4 linked regions of the Arabidopsis thaliana genome follow. The protein of the gene in region 2 interacts with the protein of the main gene of each other region in a pairwise test. Each region holds a gene or a part of one and is shown on either strand. Other genes may lie near its edges.

Region 1 (7,395 bases), on a different chromosome or scaffold from region 2:
CTATATATAGAAAGAGAGGGAGATGAAGAAGAGTAAAAAAAGGGGATGGGGAAGGGATTGATATATGGTAGAGTGAAAAACCGCCATTTATTTTTAATTTGGACGTTTAATACCTCTAGTATTTAATTTGGAAGAAAAATACCTTAATTAATTTTGGTTACCTATCAAAAAGTTGGTATAATCGTACCTCCGAGTTAACTTCCGTCAACTACCCTAACGGAAACATATTCGTATAATCAAGAAAAGCGATTGTACTTATTTACATAATTAACATGAGTTAAGTTTTAACCACAGTTAACAATTCCGTTAGGGTAGTTAACGGAAGTTAACTCGAAGGTAAGATTATACCAACTTTTTAAAAAACGAAAGTTTTAATAAGTAACCAAAATTAACTAAGGTGTTTTTCTTCCAAATTAAATAGTAGAGGTATTAAACGGGAAAATTAAAAGTAAATGATGGTTTTTTAGGTTTTCTCCCTTTACAGATATATTATATTTTGATTCATTAAACTTGTCTTAAAGGTTTATTTTGTGGTAGCTCTTCTTGTTCTGTACATTCAGTTGAATAAAAATCATCCCCTTACTATTTTATTTCATCTCTCATTCAATCAAATATATGTTATGGCCTCTTCAACTGCAACTGTTGTGAGAAAAAAAGTTGCTGAAAATTGGAAATTCGGATGCAAACTGCTAAAACATGTGCCTTCAAAAATTAAACAGAGAAGATCTGATTCCACATATTTTTGGTTGCACAAAGTTGTATAGGCCGAGTATATGATTACAGGAGAAAAAATCAAACTTGTTTTGTGATACATTACATGAAAAAAATAGTAAAAAGAAACAATGCTAATTACAAGGGAAACAAATGGGTTGTGGACTTGTGGGTTAGTTACTCCCAGGAAACAAACAATGTTAGTGTTAAAATCTTTTTCTCTTCTTTTCCACATTTTTCTTTTGTCAAAATTGATTGAGTGTACCAAACTTTAGTTGAGAAGAACATTTTGTGGTTTTAGGAGCTGTGGGATTGACGTGACATTAGAATCATCCGTTGTTTCCCACTTTCTGATCTTACAATTTCTCCTTTCTGACCAAAACAAAAGATTTCTTTATTTAGTTATGTTCTATAAACGAAGAAAGAATCAACCAAAAATCAAACCAACTTACCTCTATAGTACTGTCTGGAGAAAACCATTTCAACAATATCCCAAGATGTACAACTGCTGGTATCATTTTGAAAACCAGCGGTGTCGTAACCTGCCCAAACCAAAACCACCTCAGCTACTTACTTGAACTTGAACACAGAACATATAAAGAGGAGGTAACAGAAAGTTATCTGATCATACCAGGCTTAGAGCGGTTGTCCCAAGGAGAAGCAGATAGAGTTTCCCCTGACAATTTTCATAACTTTAAGCTTCTTTCTTCAAAATACCTTATATATTCTTAAATCCTACTTATGTGTATGGTCCATTGAGGACCAAGTTGTGTTACTTACTTCGATGAGGTGAAGATTGGAGGCACGGCTAAGTAGTACAAAGGCAAACTCCCCTATCTGAGCCAGAGATATTCCAACCTGCATCAATTTGACTAAGGATGGTGAAGCAAGAAAGCAAACATGATAGATCATATAAGTAATTTGAGTCAGAATATGTTACCAGAAGAGCCGTCTTATTGTTGTATCCAAATCCCTTAACAACGGTTGTAACTATTGTTGTCTTTATAATAATAACTAATATCACAGAGGCTAACAGTATATCCACATGTGTCCACAGAAAATGGACATTAACTAACATCCCAATGCTGGCTAGGAAAAGAGCAGCAAATAAATTACGGATGGGTTCGATCTGCACAAAAAAATATGAAAGCATCTCTGTCAGACTATGGACTCTTTTAAGGGTTTAAGATCAATTAACATAACGGGAGAAACAGTAAAGCCTTTTTGATAAAATGTGGTCAAAACGTACTTGCTCCAATGTATGTTCAGCGAGATCAGTAGTGGATATCATGACCCCCGCAGCAAAAGAACCCAATTCAAGACTTAATCCCAGCTTATCACTACACTGAAAGCATAAAAGACTAGTCAAACAAACATGTTGACCAAAAAACTTAATCCCACCTTATCACTAGAGTTCCCAAATACACACCAGGACCAAATAAGAGAAGGAACGCACATATGAGAATCTTCATGAACGCATTACATATGATGGATACTACAAGGAAGAATATGAGGAAGATGATGGCTAAGTAGGACTCACCCAGGCTACAAGTAGACAAAACGCAACAGCCGCTAACTGATAGAGTTCATTTGTCTGATATGAAGAAATTTTTTAGGTTAATCTACAAACTCGATTTCATTAGATCAGATGATAGGGAAAATAATATTGAGAGGAAACTCATGTACCTGTGACGATAAGCTGACCATTAGCTTCAGCAACCAAGGAATACATGTCCGTGATAATATTGACAAAACAGCCAAAAACGAAAGCAACAAAACCACCCTAAATAAAAGACAGTAAAAGCATGATTAACATCAAATCTTCAGAATACGCCTTAGGAGCAAAAAGTCTACCAGTCTTTCCATACACTTTTCCTATTGACAACATTCCATGAACAATGCCAGAATTTCCCTCGAGAACTGGAAGCAAAGCAAACAGCAAACCCACAGCACAGTCCTACAAACAGATGCTAAAATCAATCCTCCAAATCATTTGAAAAGGAATTCAAGAATAAACACTATATGATCTACAAAGACAATGGACATTACATGTAGATGAGAACAATCAGATACCTGAAGAATTAGGATTCCAATCGTAACTTGGCCATGAAGAGAATTAGTTGAATTCTTTTCCATGAGAAACTTCAGCACCTATAGATTCAAGGCAGGAACGCATGATGAACATAAAACCAACAATATTAAAAAGAAAGCCCGCTAATGGAAATGGTTAGATAAGCATTATAGAGTTCACTGAAATTACCACCGCAGTTGATGACATTGACAAAAAGGCTCCTACAAATACCCCCTCCGAACGTTTACCACCGCATAACTGCAAACAGGACCAGTTGAAAACATGTCACAGAGAGTATATCTGCAGAAGATTTTAGGGTCTGTATTTCTAACTTTCAAATACACAACACTTTAAGCTACATAAACCAAATGTCTCTCAAAGAATAAAAGAGACAGCAGGACTCATTTTTCTACGATTCAAACAGAAAGCATAACTTTTTTTCCAGAACCACTGATAAAAAAAAGTGACGCACCGACACTGTGATACCGCACAAGAACATGAATAGAAGAATTTGAAGAAGGCCTCCCAGAACAGCAACTGATCGAACAACTTTAAGCTACATAGTAAGAGGAAAGGAGCTCAAGAGTTTGTTATGTTAACAATTTAATTCAACACTATACAAATCAAAGCGGTTGATCTCACCTTAGCAGTGGAGAACTCTAGACCCAAAGCAAAGAGCAGAAATACCACACCAAACTGGGCAACTGTTTCAACCTAAATGTAGAATCATGTCAAAATTAAAGCGCAAAAGCAACGTGTAAGATGACATATATGTAAAACCACATGAGCATTATACATTCTCATCTCCGTGGCAGTCTAAGCTCTAGATTTCCTATTCGAAGACGAACTAAGGTCTCTCTTATGCATGATAAAAACTCAATTTGTTTTGACCCACAGAAGAAAAGAGTTTCTAGTCAAAGACTCATGTCTTGCTATGTGTAATATCTTAGTCAACGATCCTCAGAAGAAAATAGTTCCTAACCTGCTGATCTAAATAAGTATTCGAGACCTTAAAGGAATTTCTCAACTAAAGGTATTGGGAGTGGACGAAAGACTTAAATCTTTTGAGGTCAAACACATAGCATACCTGGACCATCTCACTGATGAAGTTCAATCCTCCAGGCCCAATGATAGATCCTGCTAGCAAATATCCAGTTATCACCTACATAAGCACAGAATGAGTCATAGCTATCAGAAAACAAATGCATCATACTGAAACATAAAGTCATATTGATAGAGAATAAGAGTAGCACGAAAATCAGACCGGCTGTCCAGCACAAGCAAAGGCGATACCACCACAAGTTGCAGATACAATGACAACCACCAGGTCTGATATCAGTCTACATGCCATAAGAAGCAGAAATCAGATGACTGATTGAAAATTATAGTCTTTTTTTCAAGAATCATGTTTAAGACCAAGAATCTTGCCTCAAGTCTAGCTGCAATACTGGATACTTTGATTTGGAATTGGATATGATGAAGACATTGTCCTGACACAAGGCCAAAACTTCCATGTAAGAAGTAATGCAACAAATCCAAACTCAGTCTTCCTGTGTAAAAACTTACTTTTCGATCAATGAGAGTTGGAGTGTCCTCAGCTCTGTTATCATTGTTCAAGTTGAAAACATCATGGAGTTGAAAACGCCTATGGAAAATTAGATAACGCTTAATACGTCTTCAATTCCAGAACATCAAAGAAGGTCATACAAAGGAAGATTTAGAAATATAAACGATAACTATAATAGAATGGTGTACTTCTCCTCTTTTGTCTCATTTTTCTTGGTCGACTTTACTCGGGCTACAGTTTCCAGAACAGCCTGATCACCACAAGGTACAACAACCAACCTCACATTCAGATACTCAAACTATGCAATTAATGAGAGAAATGATCAAATCTTAAAGCAAGCCTTATACTTTCAAACAAAAGACTTGGGAGTGATTTTGACACTGCTTGAATTTCCTAGAAATTGTCCAACTTTGAATAATAAACAGAAGCAAGTATATACTAATGATTAAAAGTTAAAACAAACCTGTTGTCCAGCTACACTGTTATTGAAGCTTCCAGGATCAGCCACTGCCACAAATATAACAACATTGGGAGATAATATATCGAGTAAAAGTGTAAGAATACAAGATAAACACTCACTATCCATTTCAGGAAAACCAATCACAAAAATGTATCTTGTTTGTGTAAATATTCTCGATCTAGAAGAAGCAAACTATTCCACATTGGGAGATCCCCAAAAAGGAAAGACGAATGTGGGATCAATCTAAAGTTCCGAACTTTCAATTGGATCACGGATCCAATTCAGGATCTACCTAATGAATTCTAGTTGTTCAATGGCCATTTCAAGCTCCATAAAGTAGCAAAAAACACTAACCTTCATTCTGGTCGCTTTCATTGAACTCTTTTTCAAGAGCACGATCGATGATGTCGGCGAAGCTACCTTCCTTAGGCTTAACAAGAGAAGAAGAAGAAGAAGCGTTGAGAGATGCGACGGAAGAGGAGGAGTTGGCGACTGTTTCATCCAGTAGATCCGAATCAGATATAGCTCGAGGAGACGCGACGGAGAAGCAGAGGAAGAAGGAGAGTAAAAGTAAGAGGAGAGCTAGCTGTTGAGAGGAGAGCGAGAATCTTCTTCTTCTTCTTCCTTCCACCATGGCAGAACAACTGGTTCTGGATTAAACCGGACTGGAGCAACGGTCTAGCAGAAGAACCGGAACCGTCGCGAGTCTCTCGATCGAGGACGAGGAGTGGGCAAGTGGGGAGAGAGGGAAAGTGAGATTGTTGCAATGGTCAACAAACAGTCCATACATAGGCTCTCTACATATAACAAGACTATACTGTACAATTTACGACATATCTGTATTAAAATTAATTATCGGATTTTTTTCTTTTTAATGTTGTGTTGTTTCTTTGTAATATACAGCAACTGCACCATGTCCATGTGGTAGATTAATGAATGGAATGGGTCTTTCTTGGTTATTTGATTTTCGATTAGGACAAAACATCTTCCATTTCTATAAAACTTTAGCTCAATGTCTACGCCATACTTATTATTACTCAATGCGACTCTTTTTCATGTAATCATTTAAATCCAATAAAAATAGATTTCACTGTATTTATAATTCTGTGAAATTTGTAAACGTGTTTTTTTAGTTCATGGTCCCCAAAAATTATCCAAAAAATCGCTGTCAATTAAAAAATTAAAAACAAAAAAAAAGAAAAATTATATTATATATATATATATATATATTCCCCTCACGACAAAAAAATATATATATTCGCTTCTGTTTTTTTCTTCTCGGACAATTCGTCTTTTGACAACAATGGCGGACAAATCAAGCAGATCACTGATATTGTACGGAGACGGCTTGGCTCGATTTGTCGATCCGTCAAATACCAACATCCATTCTCTTGCTTCCGTCGCTACTTGTGGCTTCTTGAGCCTTCCTAATGCACCTCCAGGTCTCTCTTTCTCTCTCCCTCGCTATCTCTTCATAAATTTGGTTACTTTCGTTTGATTCGTCTTGAATTTCAGTCAAAATCGCTACTTTAAGGGTTTTCACTTGTTAGGATTTCTTAGTGTTGATCAGAATTGAACCATATCGTTTGGATTCGATTGTGACTTTTTTAATAGTCCAATATGAAACTCCAGTATACAATTGATCTAACTGGCCAACTTAGAGTTCTTGTTCAGTGTCAATTGACCCAATTGCTTAAGAAACAAAGATTTGAGATCACTTGTGTTACATTGCCCTTGCTTTGACATTTTGCTATTGATCTAACTCACTCTGCTGTTTCAATATTGCAGAAACTGAGAATGAAAGAATAGTTCGAGAATTCTCCCACTTGCTGGATGCATCCGAAGCTTATTCCATAGCTGTGAGATACTTTACTCTCTACTATATTAATTTCTATGTGAGCCGAGTTTTGTGGCAAAATATTTAACAATCTCAGTGTGTTTACATAGTTATTCACGAATTAGAGATTAACGAACCATGATCTGATTTCTTAATAGAGTGGACTAAAACCAAAGGGAAATGGAAATGATATCTCAACTTTGGCTGAAAGGTTATACTTTTCACTTATCTCTATAGTTTTATACTCTCTTTGATAATCAATAGCTGGTATATCCATATGTTGATGCTAGTATTTACTTTAATGCCAGGTTTATGGGACTCAAAGCTGCTTTAGTTACGGACAGTTCTACTCTGACTTCTTTCGGAAAACTGATTGGCTTAGATGTATTACAGCTTAGTGAAATATGCCAAGAGAGTGATTCCTTTCCTTCTGATGCCACATCATCTAAACTACTAAAGCTGCTTGGATTTGAAGGAGGAAAGTGCTTGGATGTGAACCTATATGACTTGGTTTTTGTTCATTTCGGGGTTGATGAATATAATAACGGGAACAACATGGGAATTCTCGACTCTTTGATTGGCAGTATTATGGGAATGGCTCAACCAGGTTCAGAGATTCTATCGCGGTTGCATCTGTCTGTCGTTCTTAGCTATGGTTCTGTCACAGACAAAGATGTTTCAGTTTTTCCAATCAAGACTCCACAAGAAGACATTAACCCGGCATTTATAGGACTTGTCCCGCGTCAGAG
Region 2 (4,582 bases):
GCTTTGGTGTTTGTATTGGTTTACCTGAGGGAAGAAAAGTCTTTCTCTTTGGGACTTTAAACTTTGATTACTTAACTCCAACATTATCATAGTTGGGTTCTGTAGTTCATTTCACTTATAGCAGTAATAACTCATTGATTGATGCAATCAATCAATCCTGTGATGGAAATGGAATCATGGAAATTGAGGGATTCAGGGAGGATTGATTGATTAGAATTTCATATTTATGAGAGAATAAGAGAACTGATGTGTGTTTCTTTTCCTACTTCTTAAAGTTGTGCTCTTTCCTATTTCTATAAGCTCTTGTGGATAACAACAGTTGATTAACGTTCTTATGCTTGTTTAGGGTACAACAAGAATGGAAGAAGAGTATGAGAGTCGTCGATTGAGGAGATGGGAAGAGTTGGACACTGACATCTTAGTAAGAATTTTCCAGAAGTTTAGCGTCTTTGAGTTGACTTCGGGATTAGCTCATGTTTGTAGAGGATGGAGAGCTGCTTGTTGCGATCCGATTCTTTGGAAGACGGTGGATTTGTCAAACATGAGATCTAGTTTCATCAAGATCCCATTAGAGCCTTATGTCTATGTGGAACGCCGATCTGATGAGGCCCTAACCCGCATCCTGAAACTCTCCATGAACCTTAGCGGAGGAAGCACGAGGACCTTGATTTTTCATTTCAACTTGTTCTTGAGTGATGATCAGCTTACTTACACCGCAGAAAGGTATGTCCTTTTCGTTCTTCCACTTATTTGTCTTCCAAATTGTTTCATCATGGCCGTAAACTATGGTTTTTTAGTCAAAAGTTGGTTCAGTTTTTGGTTTGGTTAAGTTCATGTACCCACTTTCAGTCAAAATTGCTGAATTACAATTAAGCTGAATCTCGCAAATGCTAAAAGTTGAAAAATTTGTTGTACTGAATATTTTGCAGGTGTCCAGGGTTGAGACGGGTCGTCCTACCGGCTTGGAACAGAATAAAGAAGACTGGTATATGCAAAGCGATAAGAATCTGGAAAGATCTAGAGTCACTAACAATGCCAAGCATCGCAAACCCGCCTTATCTCTTAACAGAAATTGCCAAGAACTGCAAGAATTTTAAAGAGCTGAAGATCATGGGTCCATTCGAGGTCTTCTTTGCAAACACGCTCATCACTTGCCTCCCAAACATCAAAACACTCAGCATCAGATGCTCGGCGATAAAGCGGGAAGCACTGATGAAAATCCTTGACGGATTACCAAGCCTTGAAGTGCTCAACATATCACACTCTCACCTAGTGGAGTACAGCGGTTGGCAGCCTCAGCAGAAGGTGATTGTTAGAGAGCTCGATAAGACGATAATGGAGAAAACAGCAAGGCTAAAGAAATTCTTGACTTGCATGGATCACAAGACGTGTGTGATGTGTCAGAGGACTGAAAACGATGAAGGGATTGTGAGATGGTACAAGTATGAGGAAGGAGACTGGAAGGTTGATGAAGTGAGTTCTCTTCATCTTTGATGTTTCTGCTGTGATCATTCTCTGTGAAGGACTTAACTTGTTATTGTTCTCATCTTTGACTGTTGAATTGTTTATTTCTTTGTGTTGTTTGTTTTGATTTGAATCGTATTATGTGTATATATCTGTAGGCTATGCCAATGAATGTCTGTAGTGATCAACTTTTGATCACCACCAACCTTGCACACCAAATAGGAAAATAAAACAATATTGTTACAATTATTTGTCTTGATATTAGCATTATTAGTCACATTTGTTTTGCAAATCATCTACCTTTTTTTTTTGGTCTATATCTTATTCTTCTTAGTTCTTACCTACCAGTCTTCTCCGGCGGCATTAACGACACCGTTTTATCGAGCTCAGCCACCACTAGTTAGGTAACGATATATATTCTTAAAAACGTTTAGAAAATTTCTATGTATGTTTCACACGAACAAAAAGAAAATATTTTTCAGACATCAACGGTCATTATGGACGACGACTGTTAAACAAAATCGTTTAAAATTCTTGTTGCGTAATTTGACCATTTTATTTTATTTTATACCAAAAATTGAAGATATTATATATATGTTTTAATTCGATCGCAAATAAATCTGAAAATTAAAACACAAAACGTTACTCTTCTCTCTCATTCTCTTTCGCTTCTCGATAGCTTCTCAAATCATGGTTCAGCAAATATGGGAGACGTTGAAGGAAACAATCACAGCTTACACTGGACTTTCTCCAGCTGCGTTTTTCACCGTACTTGCTCTCGCTTTCGCCGTTTACCAAGTCGTCTCCGGTTTCTTCGTTTCTCCTGAAGTTCACCGACCTCGTTCTTTGGAGGTTCAGCCTCAATCGGAGCCTCTTCCACCGCCGGTTCAGCTCGGAGAAATCACTGAGGAGGAGCTTAAGCTTTATGATGGCTCCGATTCTAAAAAGCCCCTTCTTATGGCGATCAAGGGCCAGATCTATGATGTTTCTCAGAGCAGGTATTTCTTGTGAAATCTTTACTTGTTCATTAAATTATGATTGAATCCAAATGATCACTAGTTAAATTACCAGTAATAAACGATTCAACCCAATAGTTTCGAGATTTGGGGTTTAGGTTAGTTAATCATGGTTGACTGTTTGATTTATAATCCGAAGTTTCCAATTACTATCTATCTTATGATTCTAGTATATCTACTGATGCTCGAACTCTAGTTTAAGTGATTCTTTATTGTAAAACTGAACACTTTTAGTAAATCTTTTTGATGAATATTCTCTCCTTTTTGTTCATAATCTTATGATGCTCTTTTTATTGCTTTTTGCATCTTAGTGTTTGTTTTTTCACTTCTTTTCTTGGAACAATACCATTAGAAGCACTGATACAATTGTATTGTATTCAAGTTATCGGAAAGATCTCTACTTTTTCTTATACTAGAAAAACCTGTATTTAGATTACATCTTGGATTAGTAGAGATTGATAACGTACAAACTCGTCAAAGGTTTGGCTTCTAATATTGCTATTGTGGCGAAAGAGATCGTTCACTGATTAATTATCCACATTTGCTTGCTATTTGTGTTCCATGACGTTTGTAAATTAAGTTTTGGCGAACATTGTTGGTATGTAACCATGCTGCAGTTGTCTAGATCCCTGACTTGTCAACTAGACAGTTCTTTTACATTCCAGTTACCGAAAACTTCGTTGTGGTAATTAGGTTTTGTGCTAGATGAAATAATCACTTCAGTGATCATACCGTTTTGCTTGTTCATAGTGGCGACAGACACAGACACACTCATCAACGCATATACATGTCGATGTATATGTATGCATAACTTTTAGTTTTTTTCTTGTACATAGTTCATCAGCTGTACTACATATCTAGATGAATCATATTCATATGTGCCAAGCTGTAGTTTTTCATTCTTCAAACTCTACTTAACTCTTACTGGTCGCTAATTTGCATGACCATCTGTTCTTTTTATGCAGGATGTTTTATGGACCAGGTGGGCCATATGCTCTGTTTGCAGGGAAAGATGCAAGCCGAGCTCTGGCAAAGATGTCATTTGAGGACCAAGACTTGACTGGAGACATCTCAGGTCTCGGTGCATTTGAGCTAGAGGCGTTACAAGACTGGGAGTACAAGTTCATGAGCAAGTATGTCAAAGTCGGAACCATTCAAAAGAAGGATGGAGAAGGCAAAGAAAGTTCAGAACCTTCCGAAGCAAAGACTGCCTCTGCGGAAGGTCTTTCTACAAACACTGGAGAAGAAGCTTCAGCAATTACCCATGATGAAACTTCTAGAAGCACAGGCGAGAAAATCGCGGAAACCACGGAGAAGAAAGATGTTGCAACTGATGATGATGATGCTGCAAAGGAGTAAAGTCAATGTAATGAGAGGCACAGTTTCTCTTGAGAAATTAGTGAGATTTTTCAGGGTTTAAGTATGAGTCGTATATAGCTCAATAAAAATGGTGACCTTGTGTGTACTTTTTGGATCTTGTATAATGACATCTAATTCTGGTTATGGAAGCTTCAAAATACATTATTTCTACAGTATTAATCGATAAACAGTTCTATAATTCAGGGTTTGTTCACTTGTTGTTTATGCTTAGTTCATATTTGACATCCTGCTATGTGCCTGGTAATTGAAGATGGTTCAATTCCTAAAATCGAAGCACCAACTTACATTTGATGGTAGGTCTGTTGCCGAACCGAAGTGAAGAATTTGCAATAATTTTGGTTTCGGTTTGGAACCTTCAAACCGACCGGTTTCGAATTATTATTGAACCAAATTTTCAAAATTCAAATATCTTGTCAAATCATTTTCTTCCCTCTTTCTGTCTCTGTCTCTCTCTCTCGCTCGATCTCGAAGGTGAAGCTATGGGAGTGAAGTATCTTTGGGATGTCTTGGAGCCTTGTAAGAAGACTTTCCCACTCGATCATCTTCAGTGAGTTGTTTCTTCGTCTCAATTTCTCTTTAATTTTTCTGGGTGTTTAAAAAGACCAAGTCTTTACGAGATCTTCGTAATCGCTGTAGAAACAAAAGGGTATGCGTGGATCTTTCGTGTTGGATGGTGGAATTGCATAAAGTGAACAAATCTTATTGCGCCACTAAAGAAAAAG
Region 3 (5,113 bases), about 17 Mb from region 2:
TGTAGATAAGAAACTCCACATTTCCTTTCAATATGAGATGGCAATCAAATAATTTTAAAGGACGATAATGATCAAAACCTGAAGAAAATAGCGGCCATCTGTCCATAGAGCTGCCTTATCCTTGGTGACAACAGCGGTACCAGCACTTCCAGTAAATCCTGATATATAAGCCCTCCTGGCATAGCACTCTGCGATGAACTCGCTCTAGTACAAAATATGGAGAAAAATCACACTCAAGCCATGAAAAACTCAGGCAGTTTATGGATACATTTAGAAGTAAAACATAAATTTGTGACTTTCCTAATGGCACAGAAATATATTACAGGCAACATCAGTTATGAAAGTAGATCTTAAGCTCCTAGTATGTAAAATTCACCGAAACAACACATTACCCATATCAAAATGGCAAAAACAATTGCATAGATGCATAACAACCCCCGCACTGGTCCAAATCATATTTATTTTTTATCTTGAATCTCCAAATCGAATTTGGTATACTCAGGGACAGCAAGATTGACGTGTGAGCGGAGCAAGAAACTTTGGGGAGAATGAAATAAAACACGAGTTGGAGAATTTCATACTGTGATTTAGAAGAAGAAGAACTTCCATTTGGCTCTACAATTGAAACATCCTCTTATGACAAGTTGAGATTTGACTAGGAAGAAAAATCTGAATGCATTTTCAACCCAACATATAGAAGATCAGATACCACCAAAGCCGTTTCTTACAATACCATAAAGTAGAAAATTACAAAGACAAAGAGTTTATGCATAACACAACTGACAGATATCATAACAAACATATACGTTTCACAATCACTCAGAGAAATTGTGAGAGGTGATGGTGTTCAACGAGCACTTGTGGTGACTACTCTGCGCTTGTTTCGATGGAATTTTTCCATGAACCACTCGTGTTTGTGTGCAGTAAAGAAGATATGTCCAATAACTAATCCACAAAACACACCAGGTCCGTAGGCTATTGCCGCTGCTATCCAGTTAATCACTTGTTCTTCTGGTTCCGAAAATTCCTCGGATTCTAGTGGTGTAGAACTCGGGGCATGAGCTTTTCCACAGATTTTCTCAAGACCGTAGAGTCTGAGGTTGTCCATGAATGTAGAACAATGTTGGCTTTGAAACTGAGTGCCTAGTGGAACTGGACCTTCGAGAAGGTTATGGGAGAAATTCATGGTCGACAGAAAAGAGAGGCTACCAAGATCTCGAGGGATGTGACCTGATAGCTGATTCCGGGATAGGTCCAATGTCTCAAGATTTGTCAAATTTGCCAATGACTGAGGGATATTGCTTGTGAATGAGTTACCTGACAAATTGAGAAGACGCAATTCCTTCAACAAACCAACGGATTCAGGTATATTCCCAAAAAATCTGTTTCCAGAAAAGTCAATGGCTCTGAAGAAATATGGGATCCGCAAGAAGTCCGTTTCTACTCCTTTATATATCATAGTCATCGAATTACTATGGCTGAACTCGGGCCCTTTCTCGCCCATGTACCAATCCTCTGTACCTATATTAGAGCCGTTTTCTTCTAAGACAGATGTCACCATCTCACGCCAATTGGAGAAATATAAAGGTGACAAAGTTCCACTGAAGCCATTCTGTGATATATCAATGAGTCTCAAATGTTGAAACCCAAAAGATATGTGGTCATAATATAACGACCCATAGAATGCATTAGATCTGAGGATGAGGACACGTAATGATGGCAAAGAAACCAACCAGGATGGAAAAGTGTCCTTGATTATGTTGCTTCCCACATTCAGAAGTTCCATACCAGTGCAATTGATCAGGGATTTTGGAAGTTTTCCCTCCAACCGGTTGTAGCTAACGTCAAGTGATAATAACATGCTAGCATTGACAAATACGTCTGGGAGAAATCCGCTGAAGCTGTTGTTACGCAGAACTAGCCCTTTAAGCCAATAAGTGGAATTTTTCAAACAAGGAGGAATTGAGCCGTTGAAGAGATTGTTGGACAAGTCTAAGTACTTTAAGAACCTTTGCTTGCAGATCCAATGGGGAAAAGGTCCTCCAAGTGAATTCGAACCAAGATCCAACTCCTGCATTGATTCTCCATCCAAAGCTCCGGATGATGACTTTCCAAAACTGTTGAAAGAATTGTGGGAAAGTGTCACTGTCATCAATCCCCATAAGCAACCTGGCACTTCGCCTTCCAAGGTATTGTTTGAAAGACTAAGATGCTGAAGGTTGACCAACTTTGATATAGAAGTGGGGATTGGCCCAACTAAGTTGTTGTGGCTAAGATCTAGTACTATGAGACTGTGAATTTCAGATATATATTCAGGGATTGGCCCATCGAATTTGTTATCAGCAAGGTTTAGATCCCAAAGCCTAGAAGATGAAGATATATTCCCAAACTTTATAGGTCCCATGAACTGGTTTCCTTCCAAATAAACAATTTGTAACGAAGGAATCGTGAATAAGGATGTAGGAAAAGTCCCGACAAATGAATTCTCACGCACATCAAAATATTTCAAGTTGTGGAGTCCACTCATATCAGATGGAAGCGTGGATTTAAAGTGATTAGAGGCAACGTTTAAGGAGGACAAGCTGGTTAAATTTGGTAGTATGAAAGAGAAATTTTCCAATGTGAACTGATTGCTAGAGATGTCTAAACTAGAAAGCTTCGTTAAATTGGTAAATGAAGTAGGAATGTTACCACTAAAACTGTTTTCGGAAAGTAAAAGGTCTCTAAGTTGGTTTAGCTTACTGACCGAAGCCAGAACTTCACCTGTCAGCTGATTACTCGAAAGGTCAAGATGCGTGAGACGAGAAAGGTTTCCTAGTGAAGAAGTAACCTCTCCATAGAGATGGCAATCACTGAGAGTCAGGTTCTGGAGTTGTTGGAGTTTGAAAAGACCACTAGTTGGTTTCAAAGAGTTGTTGAGAAGGACATAACTAAGGTCAAGTGAAACCACCTCGCCAGATTCATCATCGCACGTGACACCCTCCCAAAAACAGCAATCACTAGTCTTGTTCCATGAACTCAACGATGGACTTGGCTTCGATTCACTTACCGGAAACTCGTGTTTGAACTCGAGAAGAGCATCCCTTTGGTCATGGCGGCAATAGTGAAGCCTAGAAGAAGCAAGAGTGCGTAGAACAAGGGAACCCAGGAGGAAGAAATACAAGGTAATAACACTACCAGAAAAGGAATTAGATTGGCTTGGAATCATTTTGTTTGTTTTGTAAGTAACAGGTTATGATAGCTATGGCTTCTACGTCTCTATTTAGAGAGAGAGAAAAATAGAAAACAAAACACAAATTTGCAGCTCTCTAGTAGACTTCTACCTACTCCTTTCTATAGTCAAACTTGCCCACTTGGACCAATAATTGACTTAAAAACACACACAATTGAACAGTTTTGAATCTACTAGAACTTCCTATTCAATTCGTAATCACGAGTTAAGAAGAGGTTTAAAAAAAGAGAACCTGATGTGCATCTTGTGAAGGTATGATATAAGCGTCGATTCCAACACCCGGCTCCGAAAACAGTCGCCGGATCGAGCTAAGCTTCTCGTCGACAACTACTTTGGTTTGAGCTTTACGAATCTCTTTGGAAGACTTTGCCGTGAAGGAGGAAGAGCTGCTGCTGCTGCTACTAGCATGACACCTTGCGCCAAAAAGAGGTTTATACGGTAATTTCCGGTGGATCAGAGAGAGCGAATTGAAATTGCTGAGAAATAGAGAGTGTGAGTAACGTGATGTGGATAAAACGAGCCGATTCAGAGACGGCGACGAAAGAGTTAGAGGAATCATCACCAGCGATTGCAGGAGAATCACACAAGAGGAGAAGCTTCTTGAGCAGAGTGATTACGGATAAATGTGTATAACTACTGAAAATTGCAAAACAACCCCCGTATTCTTTTAAATGTTGTATAATGTGCATGACTATTGATAATTACATTAAAATCCCAGACTTGTCAAAAAGAAACATTTTATTTTGAAACAATCTCATCAAATTCGTTATGGTAAAGGACAGCCAAGAGAGACGTGTGCAAGAAGCAAGAGTCTTTGGGTGCGTAAGAAATGTAAACGTGTTCGAGACTTTCATGCTGAGAATTTCGATTGGAATTTTGGTTTGACTTAGAAAGTTTTATGAGAAAGACTTAATACCGCCTGAATTAAGGGTTTCCACGAAAGAGACAAACGATAAATTGCAACCACACCAGAAAAGAGAAAAATAGATACTAATATTCTTTATATTGATAACCATGGGGTTTAGAATTCAAAACATATTTTGAGATATGAGTAGAAGAAGTTTCTGAATGCATTATCGAGCCAAGATTTATTACAAAACCTTGCAACAATGTGGTTTGGGACAAGAAGCTGACCATGATTTTAACCTGATAGTAAAACGGGCCTTGTCTCTTGACAGCTGAAAGTCTGAAACAAGATCATAATATTTCTCAAGCGCTGAACTAACACAAGTAAGGGAATGGAAGTGAATACTTGTTCTGAAGCAACTGGCATGAAAATGTACCTCTCAAGTATCTGGTTTTTTCTAATCTCCTTCCGTGAAAAGAAAGATTCTTAGGGTACCAAGGCAAAGGCTTGATTGCCTCCAATTCACCACTCTCTATGGCCTTAAGTATGCTTCTTATGTCTATCATCAATGAGACACTAGAAAAATGAAAGAGTCATGAATCAACCTCAGCCCGAAGAGATTTCATGAAATCATTCTCCAATTTCAATCAAATCCCATCACAAAATTGACCACTGAAGAATCAAAAACAGAGGCCACTTAGTCAAAAAAAACTCTGAAACTCCATAAACGAATCCCACTCTTCAGCTTTCACTATCCTTTGTTCCTTACACAACTTCACAACAAGACATTACAATGGTGTTTATTAGAAGTAAAGTTTCAAAATCCATGGAAGCCATTGATTCTATTGAGGTACCTTGTAATACTCCTCGAGTCCTCATCCTCGAAATGAAGATTTGAGCAGATGGGCTTTTGGAGGTTGGAATCAAAGGAAGCATCGGATTTGAGGGGGTTTTCGAACATTCTCTTGGCTATTTAGAGTTGATTTCTCTTCCAAGTTGTGTCGTCTCCATTTTTGTTGTTACAGTGGCCGAGC
Region 4 (5,045 bases), on a different chromosome or scaffold from region 2:
ATTCTATTTCATGGACCACCTGGCTGTGGGAAGACCAAGTTGGCTAATGCTATAGCCAATGAAGTTGGTGTTCCGTTTTATAAGATTTCAGCTACAGATGTGGTTTCTGGTGTCTCTGGTGCTTCTGAAGAGAATCTTAGAGAGCTTTTCTCTAAAGCGTATAGGACTGCACCTTCCATTGTGTTTATCGATGAGATTGATGCGATTGGATCAAAGAGGGAAAATCAGCAAAGGGAGATGGAAAAGCGGATTGTAACGCAATTATTGACTTGTATGGATGGACCTGGTAACAATGGTCCTGAGTCTAGTGTTGGATTTGTTCTCGTTATTGGAGCTACAAATGGCCTGATGTTCTTGATCCTGCTTTGAGGAGAAGTGGACGATTTGAATGTGAGATTGCTCTAGGTGTTCCAGATGAAGATGCAAGAGCTGAGATACTTTCTGTTGTAGCCCAAAAACTTAGACTAGAAGGGCCCTTTGACAAGAAAAGAATAGCTCGTTTAACGCCGGGTTTTGTTGGAGCAGATTTGGAGGGTGTTGCTAACATGGCTGGCAGGATTGCCACAAAGAGAATCTTGGATTCAAGAAAATCTCAACTGGCTGGGGACTCTGAAGATGATAGTTCTTGGCTGAGGCATCCCTGGCCAGAAGAAGAGTTGGAAAAACTCTTTGTTAAGATGTCTGATTTCGAGGTATGTTAATTGTAGGCATGGCATGAGTCTACTTTTCTGTACTTCAATAGCTACGAGATTTTAATCCTTGGTTCCTAACTCTGTTGGTTGCTCTGTAATCTACTAGGAAGCAGTGAATCTAGTTCAGGCATCTTTAACAAGGGAAGGATTCTCTATCGTGCCTGATGTCAAGTGGGATGATGTTGGTGGACTTGAGCATCTACGACTTGAATTCAACCGCTATATAGTCAGACCTATCAAAAAGCCTGATATTTACAAGGTAACTAATAAGTCACTTAGAACTGTTATATAGTCAAGATTACTTGCTTTTTCTCTCGAGGTCTGAATGTGCCACTTTGGTTCTTTTTAGGCTTTTGGGGTAGACTTAGAGGTTGGATTTTTACTCTATGGACCACCGGGTTGTGGCAAGACATTGATTGCAAAGGCAGTTGCTAACGAGGCAGGAGCTAATTTCATGCACATCAAGGGTGCAGAGCTTCTAAACAAGTACGTTGGAGAGAGCGAGCTTGCTATTCGGACATTGTTTCAGCGTGCCCGGACATGTTCGCCATGTGTGATCTTCTTTGATGAGGTGGATGCTTTGACAACAAGCCGTGGCAAAGAAGGTGCCTGGGTTGTTGAACGGCTTTTAAACCAGTTCCTTGTTGAGCTAGACGGTGGAGAGAGGCGTAATGTATACGTAATTGGAGCTACAAACAGGCCAGATGTAATTGATCCTGCGTTCTTGAGACCTGGTAGGTTTGGGAATCTTCTATATGTACCCCTCCCTAACGCCGATGAACGTGCTTCAATTCTAAAAGCTATTGCAAGGAAGAAGCCCATAGATCCTAGTGTTGATCTTGATAGCATTGCAAAGATGAATTGTGAAGGTTTCAGCGGAGCTGATCTCGCTCACTTGGTGCAAAAAGCTACATTCCAGGCAGTGGAGGAGATCACCACAATTTCATGTGAAGATGATGACGATATTACAGATACAAGTCAGTGTACGATTAAGATGACTCATTTCGAGCAAGCATTGTCCTTAGTCTCACCTTCTGTGAACAAACAGCAAAGAAGACACTATGAGGAACTATCAAAAAAGCTCCAAGAAAGCATTGGAAGGAAACCATAGGGTCATTCTTTTTGCCTTGCACTAAAACCTCTCTTACTTATATTATGTCTGCAAATTCCCATTCTTCTGAGTACTTGTAACAATTATATTATTGAGATAAGATAAATACGAAAGAAGGTTTTGTTACTCTTTTTTGGGGGACATTTTGTAAAGCAGATAATGGTAGAAACTAGAAAGAAAAAGAATAATGCAAAAACTACGTCGTTTAGTTTAAATTATAAGACACGTGGTCTTCTCTTTCGTCGTCTCCATTATTTACAGGAGTGCGATAATATTCTTTGAAGCTTTAACATTGTTGCGAAGACCAGACTCTCAGACTCAGACTCGGGAGGTATTGGATTCTATCTGATCTGCTCGATTTTTTCTCTATTTTCTTGCTCTCTACATTATAGCTGATCGATTTCTCATCTTGTTGTTGTTGTCCCTGCTTGATTGGTAGATCTCGAGGGGGTTTAAGCTCTGCATTTGATTTAAGTTCTGAGTTTTCGATAATCTGATCGAATCTGGAAATCATAGTATTAGATTCTACAGAAATCAAGTTCGATCCTTAACCAAGAGATTCTGTAGTCTTTCAAGGTCGAATTATAGAAGGATTTTTATTGATATGTGAGAATTTCTTTCACTGGAATAAACACTTGCTTTAGGATTCTTAACGGAAGCATCATATGAAGATCTTCACATTTGTAGTTTTTTTTTATAGTCTCTGATTCATAGTTTCCATTTGCAGCTCCTTTAAGCGATTTCTTTCTTTGTTTTTTGAGGCTTGCATTGTTATTATCACGCAGTGATTTCACTTCAACTTTCTGCTCAGATGGCAGTCCACTACTGGACAGCCCTGTTTCTATTGTTGCCATGCCTTTTCTGTATTTCAAATGCTAGTGCTGGCGATGCTGATCCAGATTACAGGTAATCTTAGAATTTCGGTAATCTTTGAGTATCTATCGTGAACTTGGTTTTGTTGTAGCTTATATGTAAGCAACATTTTTGATTCGTGGAGATTATGAATGTCTGGCAATTTTGTGTCAGGACATGTGTTTCAGAATGTGAGATAAGCGGTTGTGTTGGACAACTTTGCTTTCCTCAGTGCAATTCTTCATCCGATGGTGGTCCATGGTACATCCAAGAACCTTTGTATTTACAATGGAAAAAATGGGGTTGTCAAGGTGATTGCCGTTATCAATGTATGGTTAATAGAGAGACTGAACGGGAAACTCTCGGTCAAGCCCCAGTCAAGTACCATGGTAAATGGCCCTTCAAGCGTGTACTTGGGATTCAGGTTAGTTTTTTTCTTCAATCGCTTTTTTTTATTCTGGTTGTTTCCATATAATATGAGTTTTGACTTACCTTGTTCTTTGCCAGGAGCCTGCTTCTGTTGCTTTCTCTGTACTCAACCTAGCAATGCATTTCCATGGTTGGCTTTCCTTTTTCATCATGATCTACTATAAGTTGCCTCTGAAACAAGATAGGACAGCGTACTATGAATACGTTGGTTTGTGGCATATCTACGGTCTCCTGTCCATGAACTCTTGGTTCTGGAGTGCTGTTTTCCACAGCCGGTAAATCATCTACACATTACTCTATTATCCACAATCTGCATCATATATTCATATGTGATTTTCTGGTAATCCGTCTCTGTGGTTCTCAGGGATGTTGACCTTACAGAGAGGTTGGACTACTCATCCGCAGTAGCGATTCTCGGATTCTCACTCATCTTAGCCATTTTACGAACATTTGATATTCGGGTTGAGGCTGCAAGGGTCATGGTATCCGCTCCAATACTAGCTTTTGTAACCACCCACATACTCTACATAAACTTCTACAAACTCGACTATGGTACCCTCAATAACTTTCCGTTGTCTAAAAATCGAGTCAATATTTTTGGTGAATTCATCAGTTGAATGTCGTTTACAGGCTGGAACATGATTGTGTGTGTGGCAATGGGAGTCTCACAGCTTTTCCTATGGGCAAGATGGGCCGCTGTCTCAAGCCACCCTTCTAATTGGAAACTTTGGGTGGTTGTGATAGCTGGAGGATTAGCCATGCTTCTAGAGATATATGATTTTCCTCCATATGAAGGCTACTTCGATGCTCACTCGATCTGGCACGCTGCCACAATTCCCTTAACCATTCTCTGGTGGAGCTTCATTAGAGACGATGCTGAGTTCAGAACTTCCAGCCTCCTCAAGAAAACTAAGACGAAGGCAAAGTGAGTCTCTTTGCTAAGTTTTACAAGGATTTTTATCCGACCATACGAGTATGCAGACACGAGGGAAAAACAAAAGATGGAAATGGATTTAAACATCACGAAGAAGGCAGAGTCTTTTGTTTAAAGCTAGCTGGTTTATGGATTCACAGGTTTCTTCAGTTTTTTTTATTTTATATTGTTACATTAACTGTTGAATTTGCTTTGAGCCTTTCAGTGTTTTTCTTTGGCCTTACTTTTGGTTAAGAAAGATTTTGATATCATTTACTCATTCATACACAGACTCATGCGAAACCATTTTGAATTCAGATTCTGTCAATATTTTCGAGACAATCTTGTAATCTATAGGATTTTGTATAAAAATTTGGATCTACAAAAGCAGTTGTGTGAGAAACTCTCAAGCCCATCGATTTTGAGTCTTCTCTTTCATGAATCTGCAATTTGAGACACGACCTGCATAGACCAGACATAAAGACATCTTATGAGAAATAGCCCAATAAAAAAGTATGTGTGCGGGATACAGAGAGGGCCGACGGATTTTGCCTGAGTGATTAAAGGTTTTGCACAATCTTCCCACTCTGTAGCCCATCGACCCGAAGAACCAGTCTCCATTGCACCCGCTTTAAGCGACATTAGTGCATCACAGTTCCCTGGAAAACCCTTGAAGAGAATCTGTTCACAAAGACAAAACACAAGAACATTACTGCTGTCTTCTGCTGTAGACTTGGTGAAATAGTCTTTTAAAAAGAAAGACGAGTTACTTACCAATAATTGATCTGCTAATTCTGATGAAGATGAAAACAAAAGTCCGTTCTTCCCATCTTTAACGAGTTCTTGAATGCTTCACGAAAGTTGAAGGTTTTAAAGTTATAGTATTTGTTCGTGAAAGTAATGTAAGTGATTGATTATTTACCATGAGTAGGAAACCGAGCAAACTGGGAGGCCACATCCAAACATATCAACAACCTAAAACGCCAAACATCGGTAGCAAGTTGACACAATGGAAATCAAGTCTTAAATCTTCTTAACCTTATTAAAA

The links.
Region 1: the proteins of MAPR3 (region 2) and KEA6 interact in a protein complementation assay, tested with the Arabidopsis thaliana proteins (one large-scale study listed by BioGRID).
Region 3: the proteins of MAPR3 (region 2) and RLP30 interact in a protein complementation assay, tested with the Arabidopsis thaliana proteins (one large-scale study listed by BioGRID).
Region 4: the proteins of MAPR3 (region 2) and AT1G16560 interact in a protein complementation assay, tested with the Arabidopsis thaliana proteins (one large-scale study listed by BioGRID).

Annotation. Positions count from the first base shown.
Region 1 is NC_003076.8:3,802,627-3,810,021, forward strand, and holds KEA6 (K+ efflux antiporter 6), read right to left. Parts: upstream 5,648-7,395; 5' UTR 5,444-5,647; coding exon 5,164-5,443; intron 4,857-5,163; coding exon 4,813-4,856; intron 4,600-4,812; coding exon 4,538-4,599; intron 4,428-4,537; coding exon 4,349-4,427; intron 4,273-4,348; coding exon 4,211-4,272; intron 4,123-4,210; coding exon 4,047-4,122; intron 3,945-4,046; coding exon 3,870-3,944; intron 3,497-3,869; coding exon 3,425-3,496; intron 3,339-3,424; coding exon 3,255-3,338; intron 3,041-3,254; coding exon 2,972-3,040; intron 2,863-2,971; coding exon 2,785-2,862; intron 2,669-2,784; coding exon 2,580-2,668; intron 2,495-2,579; coding exon 2,398-2,494; intron 2,306-2,397; coding exon 2,252-2,305; intron 2,057-2,251; coding exon 1,961-2,056; intron 1,841-1,960; coding exon 1,652-1,840; intron 1,570-1,651; coding exon 1,492-1,569; intron 1,388-1,491; coding exon 1,343-1,387; intron 1,254-1,342; coding exon 1,164-1,253; intron 1,084-1,163; and 3 more. Other genes in the region: AT5G11810 (rhomboid family protein), read left to right, coding at 6,113-6,251, 6,598-6,668, 6,805-6,857, 6,955-7,395. UniProt on the Arabidopsis thaliana protein: Electroneutral K(+)/H(+) efflux antiporter involved in K(+) homeostasis and osmotic adjustment. Together with KEA4 and KEA5, promotes growth and development, and facilitates endosomal pH and ions homeostasis, as well as salt tolerance (e.g.
Region 2 is NC_003074.8:18,127,515-18,132,096, forward strand, and holds MAPR3 (membrane-associated progesterone binding protein 3), read left to right. Parts: upstream 1-1,937; 5' UTR 1,938-2,154; coding exon 2,155-2,462; intron 2,463-3,445; coding exon 3,446-3,839; 3' UTR 3,840-4,078; downstream 4,079-4,582. Other genes in the region: AT3G48880 (RNI-like superfamily protein), read left to right, coding at 359-723, 930-1,494; AT3G48900 (single-stranded DNA endonuclease family protein), read left to right, coding at 4,340-4,407, 4,497-4,582.
Region 3 is NC_003074.8:1,530,053-1,535,165, forward strand, and holds RLP30 (receptor like protein 30), read right to left. Parts: upstream 3,310-5,113; 5' UTR 3,209-3,309; coding exon 848-3,208; 3' UTR 616-847; downstream 1-615. Other genes in the region: AT3G05350 (Metallopeptidase M24 family protein), read right to left, coding at 79-204, 3,465-3,791; AT3G05365 (uncharacterized protein), read right to left, coding at 4,324-4,418, 4,516-4,655, 4,934-5,040. UniProt on the Arabidopsis thaliana protein: Receptor for microbe-associated molecular patterns (MAMPs) that induces a BAK1-dependent basal immune response to necrotrophic fungi (e.g.
Region 4 is NC_003070.9:5,666,331-5,671,375, forward strand, and holds AT1G16560 (Per1-like family protein), read left to right. Parts: upstream 1-2,053; 5' UTR 2,054-2,134; exon of another isoform or gene 2,135-2,588; 5' UTR 2,589-2,614; coding exon 2,615-2,709; intron 2,710-2,829; coding exon 2,830-3,079; coding exon of another isoform or gene 3,080-3,083; intron 3,084-3,162; coding exon 3,163-3,359; intron 3,360-3,448; coding exon 3,449-3,636; intron 3,637-3,714; coding exon 3,715-4,013; 3' UTR 4,014-4,378; downstream 4,379-5,045. Other genes in the region: AT1G16570 (UDP-Glycosyltransferase superfamily protein), read right to left, coding at 4,433-4,459, 4,550-4,847, 4,920-4,972.